2 linked regions of the Oryctolagus cuniculus genome follow. The protein of the gene in region 1 purifies or fractionates together with the protein of each later gene. This does not show direct contact. Links are inferred from orthologs where the notes say so. Each region holds a gene or a part of one and is shown in the gene's direction. Other genes may lie near its edges. The genes, in order: EIF3G and EIF5.

Region 1 (4,326 bases):
ATGCCCACAGCAGCCAGGGCCGGGCCAGGTGGGAGCCGGGAGCCTGGAGCTCCACGCTGGTCGCTGAGCCCGAGCCGTGAGGTGCTTTCCAGATGCAGTAGCAGGAAACTGGCTTGGAAGCCGAGGAGCCGGGTCTTGAACCTGACTCACAGCAGCCTGGGGGGCGGGGGTCACTGTGTGGACCAACGCTACCTGCACTTCCCTAGACGGCCACTTGGTGGCGCTTGCACCACAGCCTCACCCAGGGGAACGCCAAGTTTACAAAACCCTTGATTTCCTGCCCTTCCAGCCGCAGGGCCCTGAGCGTCCTTGCGCACTCGGCCCTGCTCTCCTTGGACGGGAGGCTCCGGCGCCGCTGGGTTAGCGGGAAGCTGGGATTCGAAGCGGAGCTGGGGCAGAGCCTCCGCCACTTCGGCAGGGGAGCCGGCGCGGCCCAAGCTGTGTCTGAACGGCTGCCCGCCCCAGCGGTTTTATTTTTAAAGATTTTATTTGACTTATCTGGAGGGAGAGACAAAGGTCTTCCATTCACTGGTTCACTCCCTAAATGGCTGTAACGGCTGGAGCTGAGCCAATCCGGAGCCAGGAGCTCCATCCGGGTCTCCCGTGCAGGAGCAGGGGCCCAAGGACTTGGCCCATCCTCCACTGCTTTCCCAGGCCACAGCAGAGAGCCGCATCGGAAGTGGAGCCCCGTGGCGTGCCTCCCGGCTCCCTCCTGCCCGGGCTCCACCACCCCGGACGGTGCTGTGTCTGCCCTGGGCCGTGGTGTCCAGCAGTCAGCCTAGTACTTGCTGTGTCCACACAGAGAGCTTACGTTGTCTGTGCCTCCACAGCTCGTCCATAACTGGACGTTAGCAGACGTGGCAACTCCAGGAGCGGGTCCTGAGCCTAGCGGCTGTCCCCGGGGCCCCATATCGGAGCTCCTGCAGCACCCTGGGAGGCAGGAGGTGATGACGGCTCAAGGAATGGGGTTCCCGCCACCCCTGTGGGAGACCCGGATGGAGTGCTCGGCTCCTGGCTTCGGCCTGGCCCAGCTGTGGCTGCTTTGGGCATTTTTAGGGGGTGAGCAGTAGATAGGACATCCCACTGGTGTCTTTGCCTCTGAAATAAAAATTTGTTTAAAATTGGGTTGTTTGAAACTCTCCTGTCAAGTCTTTAAGAAAGGTATTTATTAGGCAATTAGATCTTCCATCTGCTGGTTCACTCCCCAGATGTTTACAACAAGCAGAGTCCTGGGCCAGCCCAACACCAGGATCCAGGGGCTTCTTCCGGGTCTCCCGCGTGGGTGCAGAGGCCTGAGCCCTTTAACCGCCATCCGCTGCTTTCCCAGGTGCATTAGCAGGGAGCGGGATCGGAAATGGAGTAGCCGGGACTCGAACCGGCGTCCATGTTGCATTTCCGGTCAACCCTGGGAGGCGCCTAGCCGCCTCTACCCGCTTTGGGTACCAGCGCACACGGCGGCGCCTCCACGCCCGTCCGCACGGGGGCGCTGCGAGCATCCTCGGCCGGGTCGCTCTAGGCGGCGGCGGCGGCTGAACCGGAAGTCTCTTTCCTCCCCCACTTCCGCTCTCTGGCCCGGGCTCGGGCTGCGTGGAGAAGACTTTGCAATGCCGACGGGAGACTTTGAGTGAGTCCGGGGTGGCGGCGGGAGTCTCGGGAGACAGTGTGGGGGGGTCCTGGGGGACTCTTAGGGGGCCTGGGTCGCGCGGGGCTGCCGTCGTCCGGCCTCGCCGCCCCAGCTCTGTCCCCGCACGCTTGTCCCCGCAGCTCGAAGCCCAGCTGGGCCGACCAGGTGGAGGAGGAGGGCGAGGACGGTGAGTTCCCACGCGGCCCCCGGCCCGGGGCAGTGCCGCCCCGCTCGGGGCCGGGGCCTGGCCCCTGCCTTGGCCACTGCTCAGGGCCCCCCGGCACCTCCGCGCGCGGCCCCCGCCCCGCGCCACCCTCCTCGGGGCCAGCCCACTGACCCCTCCCGTCCTGCTCGGGGCCGGGGCCAGGCGTGGCGCCCGCGGGGTCTCCCGGCCCGTGCCCCACCCTCACGCCAAGGACCCCCGTGCCCTGGCCACTGCTCAGGCTGCCCCCGCCCCTGGGGCTCACCCCCGCCCGCCCCCTCCTGCAGACAAATGTGTCACCAGCGAGCTGCTCAAGGGCATCCCCCTGGCCACCGGCGACACCAGCCCGGAGCCTGAGCTGCTGCCCGGGGGTAAGTGACAGCCTCCGCCGCGGCCCTGGCCACCCCACCCCCACCCCCCGCCCGGCCCGCCGCTCCCAGGGCTCAGTTCCCCTCCCCGTCCCCCTCCTCAGCCCCACTGCCGCCCCCCAAGGAGGTCATCAACGGGAACATCAAGACGGTGACCGAGTACAAGATCGATGAGGACGGCAAGAAGTTCAAGGTGGGCCGGGGCGGGGGCTTGGGGTGCAGGCAGTTCAAGGTGGGCTGGGGGAGGGGCGTGCCGGGGCCCTGGGCGGGGGCTTGGGGTGCAGGGGGCCCACCCACTGCCCTCGCACCTGCAGATCGTGCGCACCTTCAGGATTGAGACCCGGAAGGCCTCCAAGGCTGTCGCGAGGAGGAAGGTGAGGCCCCCGCCCCCGCAGGGCTGACCCGGGAGCTGGGGACCCCTGTTCCAGGGGGAGTTGAGCTTCCGGAGGCCGGGGTGTCTGCATGTCTCTTGGGGCCCTGAGAAACTCGGGGTGCAGGAGCGGCTGGGGTTGGAGGGGGTTCCCCCGCTGTGCCCCTGGCTGGCGGCAGGCCCCGTGCCAAGCCCCTGGCGCCCGGAGAGACCCAGGGAGGCCGGGAGCTTTGGTGGTGCTGGCTTCACCGGGGAGGGACCCCCGCCTGCCCCCCCCAGCCTGGGCCTGGCATGGAGCCGCAGCTGCCCCTGTTGCGGGGTGGCTGCCGTGGTATGTGGGTGCCCAAGGCTGTGGGCCGTCGCCCGCTCCTGCCCTGACCTGACCCCCTCCCCGGAGCCCAGAACTGGAAGAAGTTTGGGAACTCGGAATTTGACCCGCCGGGGCCCAACGTGGCCACCACCACGGTCAGCGACGATGTCTCCATGACGTTCATCACCAGCAAAGAGGTGGGCGGGGCCGCGGGTGGGGGCGGGGTGGGGCCGCAGTCGGGGGCGGTGCAGGCCGTGAGCCCCCGCCTCCCCGCTGACCCCCGCCCCCCCCAGGACCTGAACTGCCAGGAGGAGGAGGACCCGATGAACAAGCTCAAGGGCCAGAAGATCGTGTCCTGCCGCATCTGCAAGGGCGACCACTGGACCACCCGCTGCCCCTACAAGGACACGCTGGGGCCCATGCAGAAGGAGCTGGCCGAGCAGCTGGGGCTGTCCACGGGCGAGAAGGAGAAGCTGCCGGGAGGTAGGCCCGGGGGCCCTGGCCGTGCCCTGGCCGTGCCCTGCCCGTGTGCTGCGGGCCTGCGCGCCCCCGTGGGTTCTGGCGGTGCCCGTGTTGCTGGCAGCGCGTGCAGATGGTGCCAGCGTCCGGGACGTGCCCTGGGGGCCGCCCGCCGGGCCTGACGCCGGCGCCCTCGTCCTGCAGAGCTGGAGCCCGTGCAGGCCGCCCAGAACAAGACGGGGAAGTACGTGCCCCCGAGCCTGCGCGACGGCGCCAGCCGCCGCGGGGAGTCCATGCAGCCCAACCGCCGAGGTGAGCTGGGCGCCCTGGGCGTGGGGGGGGCGGGCGCTGGGCGGGGCCTCCCCCGCTCAGCCAGCTGCCCCGCCCACACAGCCGACGACAACGCCACCATCCGCGTCACCAACCTGTCGGAGGACACGCGCGAGACGGACCTGCAGGAGCTCTTCCGGCCCTTCGGCTCCATCTCCCGCATCTACTTGGCCAAGGACAAGACCACTGGCCAGTCCAAGGTGGGCGGGGCCCGGGCCTGGCCGTGCATCCTGGGGCTGAGGGCGGTGCCCGGGCGGTGGGCAGGACCCTGACCTGGGCTCTGCCTCGCCAGGGCTTCGCCTTCATCAGCTTCCACCGCCGGGAGGACGCCGCGCGCGCCATCGCCGGGGTGTCAGGCTTCGGCTACGACCACCTCATCCTCAACGTGGAGTGGGCCAAGTAAGACCCCGCCCTGCCCCGCCCCGCCCCCCCCCGCCCCGCCCTGCCCCAGCCACCGAGCCTGTGTGCAGCGACAGCGCTTTATTGGCCTGCAGCAGGGCCCGTCCCCGCGCGCGGAGGTCCCACAGGGAGCCCAGGGACACCCTGAGGTCCCAGGCGCCAGCCGCGTCAGCCCCCCTCCCTCCCTCCCTCTCCCCGCAGGCCGTCCACCAACTAAGCCGGCAGCCGCGGCCGCCACCTGCGCCCTGCGTGACGAGCGGCAGC
Region 2 (4,467 bases), on another chromosome or scaffold:
CTGGGGTCTAGCAGTGAGTAAGATAGCGCCGCCAGAGCACTCGGCTGCGAGGGCGCGGGGAGAGCCTCACAACGTGGCTGTGAGTGCCACACACCAGAACTTAAAATGAGCTCAAACTATTACAAACTGGGCAAGGGAAAAAAGGCGCCTTGTATTTATTTAAAACTTTCCTGAGGACAAAGCCTCTTACCCCAGGAGAGCTGCGCGCCCTTCCTTTCCAGGAGTTTCTAAAATAACGTCACGCGTGGGCAGCCACGCAGAGCCAACCGGCCTCAACCCTGCAGTCACGCGCCGCCGCGACCCTGCCCAGCACGGCCGAGTTACTCCCTAACCCGCACTAGGCGGGCCGAACGGCTTACAGAGCCCACAACACCAGGAAGAGTAACCCTGCACTGGAAGGGGAGAGGGAGTGGGAGAGGGGAGCGTTGTGGGTGGCAGGGAAGTTACGGGGGGGGGGGGGGGGAGCTATTGTAATCCATAAGCTGTACTTCGGAAATTTATGCTCATTAAATAAAAAAAAATAAATTAAAAAAAAAAAGAGTAACCCTGCACTTTGATGTAAAAAAAAAAAAAAAGCCTCTAAGCTTGCAAACTGCACGGGTTAACACCCACGCTGTCCACTCCAGGTGCGGACCCGGGGAGCCCGGCCAGGAAGCAGCCAGCAGTCCGAGTCCAGCTCAGACTCGGACGCAGAAGCCCGAGTTCCTGGAAGCACAGGGAAGCTGCGGCAGAACAAGACGCGAGCCCTGTCGCCACAGCCGCCCTGGTCACCCCGGGGCCCCATGCGACGGGCGGTCACTCGGGGCAAAGCGGCAGAGGGGCAGCGAGGGTCGGGGCTCTCCAAGCCTGGGGCAGCGCAGCGGACACTGCGCCGAGGCGGGGCGCTGCCAGGAGGCCCCGCTACGAGCGAGTCCGAGGTTTCCACTTCTGAAACCGGGGAGCCACGGTGTGGGAGGGGAGCGGCCAGGCTCGGCGCGACGAAGTCCCTGGCCTGCCCCATCCAAGGGCCAGGGTCCCCCGAGGCCACTCGGCCCAAAGAGGCGGATAAAAGGCAGCACTCGCGATCCAGGAGCCGGGCAGGGGCCGGCGGGCGAGTGCCCGGCCCCTAGTCGAGCGCGCCGCCGCGAGGAGCGGCCCGGAGCGCTGCAGGCCCGAGCCAGGCCCAGGCCCAGCCTCAGGCAGACGGGGGAGGGGAACCAACCGCCATCTTTCCCAGAGTGCCGTAACCACTAGACGAAGCTCCGCCGCGGCGGCCGCTCCCTCTCTCGCGAGATCTGGCGCCTGCGCCGCGAAGGCCACTGGGAAAAGCGGGGGGAGGGGAGAGGAAGGAAGCCGGGACCCCGGCTGGAGGCGGGCTGAAGCGGCGACAGGACCCTCAGGAAGAGGGGGCGGGGAGAGGGCGCGATTGACGCGGCGTGCAGGCCAATCAAAAGCGAGCTCGGGCGGGCCTCCGGCCAATCGGTAGTGCGGCCTAGCGCGAGGGGCGGGCGCTGGGGCCGAAGGTAGCTTGAGCGCGGCGGCGGCGTTGTTCAGTCAGAGCGAGAACATTCCAGAGGTGAGTCCGCTGGAGGGGCGGCGGCCCCGCGCCCCCTCCCCGCCCCCCGACCCCGCGGGCCGCTGGCTGGCGGGGCAGGCGCGCCCGCCCGGCCGCGGCTCACGGCGCCGTCTCTCCGCGCCAGGTCGCCGCTCCGCGCTGCCCGACCGCGGACGTCTGGGACAGCCCCTCCCGCTGCTCGGCGGCGGCACCTGGCCCGGCCGCTCCCCGCGCTGCGCTGCGCTCCGCTCCGCCGCCTCCGCCGCCCCGGACTCGGACTCGGGTTGAGACGCGCCTCACTTCATCCCAGTCCCGGGCGAGCAGCGTTGGGTTTATGTCTTTATTTGACGAAAACGGTGAGTCGCGGGCGGGCGGGCGGGCGGGCGGACGGGAGATGGCGGCCGCACAAGATGGCGGCGCCGCCGCGTGACCCGCCGCGGCGTGTGGCGCAGTTTGGGGGGCGGGCGGCCCGCGGCCCGCAGCCGGCGCGGCCTCTGCCCTGCCGGCGGGAGCGCGCGCTGCCGCATCTGTGAGTCACCGCGCCCGCGGCGGGGGTGGCCGGCGGCCCCGGCGCCGCGGCGGGCCCGGGATGGGCCCGGCGCCCCTGAGCGCCTCGGAGGGCGCGGGGCCGAAGGTCAGGCGCGCGGGGCCGGGCGGGCCCTCGCGCCCGCGGCCGGACGCTGGAGTAAGCCGGCGCCGCGGCGCCAACGCTCCGCTCGGCCCCGGACTGCGGCTCGGGGGGCAGGGCTGGCCGCCCCGGCGGGTGGGGGCGGGGCGGGCTTCCGCGGGCGGCGGCCGGCGTTCCCGGGCCCGGGCCGCGGCGTCGCCAGCGCGGAGGCCCCGTCTGTCGCCGGCGGCGTGCGGGGTCGGGGAGTCGGAGGCGCCCCGCCGGGTCCGGGGCTGTGTGTGGCGCGGGCAGCCCGTCGGTGCGGGAGTGACGTTACACCTGCGGGGATCGGGTGTGTTCTTTGCTTCTCTTGCAGAGCTGTTGCGCAGCCATTGGTACCTGTATTGGGGACACATAGCATACAAGCAAGAAGCTTGCAGCCTCAGTGGCGAAAATTTTTTCATGTCAGAGACCGAGAACTCTTGCAGTCGTTTATGTCATCCCTTCTTCTCCAGACAGAAGATACCAAAAAGTTGCAATCAAAGATCTCTTCATCTTATTGATAAAGCCACTAATAAGCCAAAATGTCTGTCAACGTCAACCGCAGCGTGTCAGACCAGTTCTATCGCTACAAGATGCCCCGTCTGATTGCCAAGGTAATGCTGATCTTCGATTTTGTAGGAAGACTGTAGATGTTTAAGTAGATTAAATGCAAAAATAAAGTTCGTGTTCTCTTTAGGTTGAGGGCAAAGGAAATGGAATCAAGACAGTTATAGTCAACATGGTTGACGTTGCAAAGGCGCTTAATCGGCCTCCAACGTGTAAGTAAAGCTTCTTGGAGAAGTCTGAAAAGGTATATGACGAATATATATTGTCTTGATCCTCTTTAAGCTGAAAAACATTTACGAATTCTTTGCTAATTAGTTGAAAGGGTAAGGAGTGGAACCTCTAACAAATGTAATAGTTGTCTTAAGTTCACAAAATTACCTGGGCAGCACATTAGATTTAGCACGATTTTTTTTGTTTTAAAGATTTGAGAGGCAGAGAGAGGGGCTGTCCATCTGCTGGTTCACTCCCCAAATGGTCACAACAGCTGGAGCTGAGCTGATCAGGAGCTTCTTGTCTCCCAGTTGGGTGCAAGGGGCCACCTTACATTGCTTTCCCATGCCATAGCAGAGAGCTGGATCAGCTGGAACTCAAACAGGCGTCCATATGGAATGCTGGCACTGCAGGTGGCAGCTTTACCTACACCACTAGCTCTGTGCCCAACAACTTAAAAACAGTGATTTTTGTGTAAGATATGAACAAGCAGCCAGACATTTAGTTAACTGTAATGAGGCAAATCTAATTGTTTTTCTCCAAATAGATCCCACCAAATATTTTGGTTGTGAGCTGGGAGCACAGACCCAGTTTGATGTTAAGAATGACCGTTACATTGTCAATGGATCTCATGAGGCGAATAAGCTGCAAGACATGTTGGATGGATTCATTAAAAAATTTGTTCTCTGTCCTGAGTGTGAGAATCCTGAAACAGATCTGGTGAGTGAATGCAGCAGGGTTTTTGTTTGGAACAGACAAAACCATCTGCCTGCCTCTGAGCAATCCTGTGGTAGCACTGCCTTTCCTGGGAAGGCAAGGCACACTTTGCTGTTAGAAAACAACGCACCTACAATTTTTTTTAAGTAGGTCGCCGTCTCTCATTTCTTATGATGGTTTTTTTTCCTTTTCCAGCATGTCAATCCGAAGAAGCAAACAATAGGCAATTCTTGTAAAGCCTGTGGCTATCGAGGCATGCTTGACACACATCATAAACTCTGCACGTTCATTCTCAAAAACCCACCTGGTAAGGCTTCATACTAAACTAATAAGATTTTTTTTTTTAAATTTATTTATTTATCTGAAAGTCAGTTACATAGAAGGAGAGGCAGAGAGAGCTCTTCCATCTGCTGGTTCACTCCCCAGTTGGCCGTCGCTGATCCGAAGCCGGGAGCTGCTTCTAGGTCTGCCACTCAGGTGCAGGGGCCCAAGGACTTGGGCCATCTTCTACAGCTTTCCCAGGCCATAGCAGAGAGCTGGATGGGAAGTGAAGCAGCCAGGTCTTGAACTGGCGCCCATATGGGATGCTGGCACTGTAGGCGGTGGCTTTACCCGCTGTGCCACAGCACTAGCCCCACTAATAAGATTTTAACAAAATTTCTTGGAAACAAAGTGGGAGATTTTCTGTTGCAAAAGGAATATGGGAACACCACGTTGCATTACATGTAAATGTTTGAAAAGTCTACTATTTTTTTTTTTTTGTGCCATTAAAGTTGAATACAGTAGATTT

The links.
Region 2: the proteins of EIF3G (region 1) and EIF5 purify together in Homo sapiens (affinity purification with western blotting; 3 studies listed by BioGRID and IntAct, with this or other methods). This does not show direct contact. The link is inferred for Oryctolagus cuniculus from reciprocal best matches to the Homo sapiens genes EIF3G and EIF5.

What each region holds. Positions count from the first base shown.
Region 1 is NC_091447.1:67,187,065-67,191,390, forward strand, and holds the start of EIF3G (eukaryotic translation initiation factor 3 subunit G), read left to right. Parts: upstream 1-1,475; 5' UTR 1,476-1,604; coding exon 1,605-1,624; intron 1,625-1,764; coding exon 1,765-1,811; intron 1,812-2,113; coding exon 2,114-2,197; intron 2,198-2,298; coding exon 2,299-2,387; intron 2,388-2,508; coding exon 2,509-2,568; intron 2,569-2,966; coding exon 2,967-3,071; intron 3,072-3,167; coding exon 3,168-3,357; intron 3,358-3,537; coding exon 3,538-3,645; intron 3,646-3,726; coding exon 3,727-3,863; intron 3,864-3,955; coding exon 3,956-4,062; intron 4,063-4,129; exon of another isoform or gene 4,130-4,263; coding exon 4,264-4,279; 3' UTR 4,280-4,326. UniProt on the Homo sapiens protein: RNA-binding component of the eukaryotic translation initiation factor 3 (eIF-3) complex, which is required for several steps in the initiation of protein synthesis.
Region 2 is NC_091451.1:46,204,655-46,209,121, forward strand, and holds the start of EIF5 (eukaryotic translation initiation factor 5), read left to right. Parts: upstream 1-1,416; 5' UTR 1,417-1,555; intron 1,556-1,679; 5' UTR 1,680-1,890; intron 1,891-2,517; 5' UTR 2,518-2,725; coding exon 2,726-2,797; intron 2,798-2,880; coding exon 2,881-2,962; intron 2,963-3,507; coding exon 3,508-3,680; intron 3,681-3,872; coding exon 3,873-3,984; intron 3,985-4,467.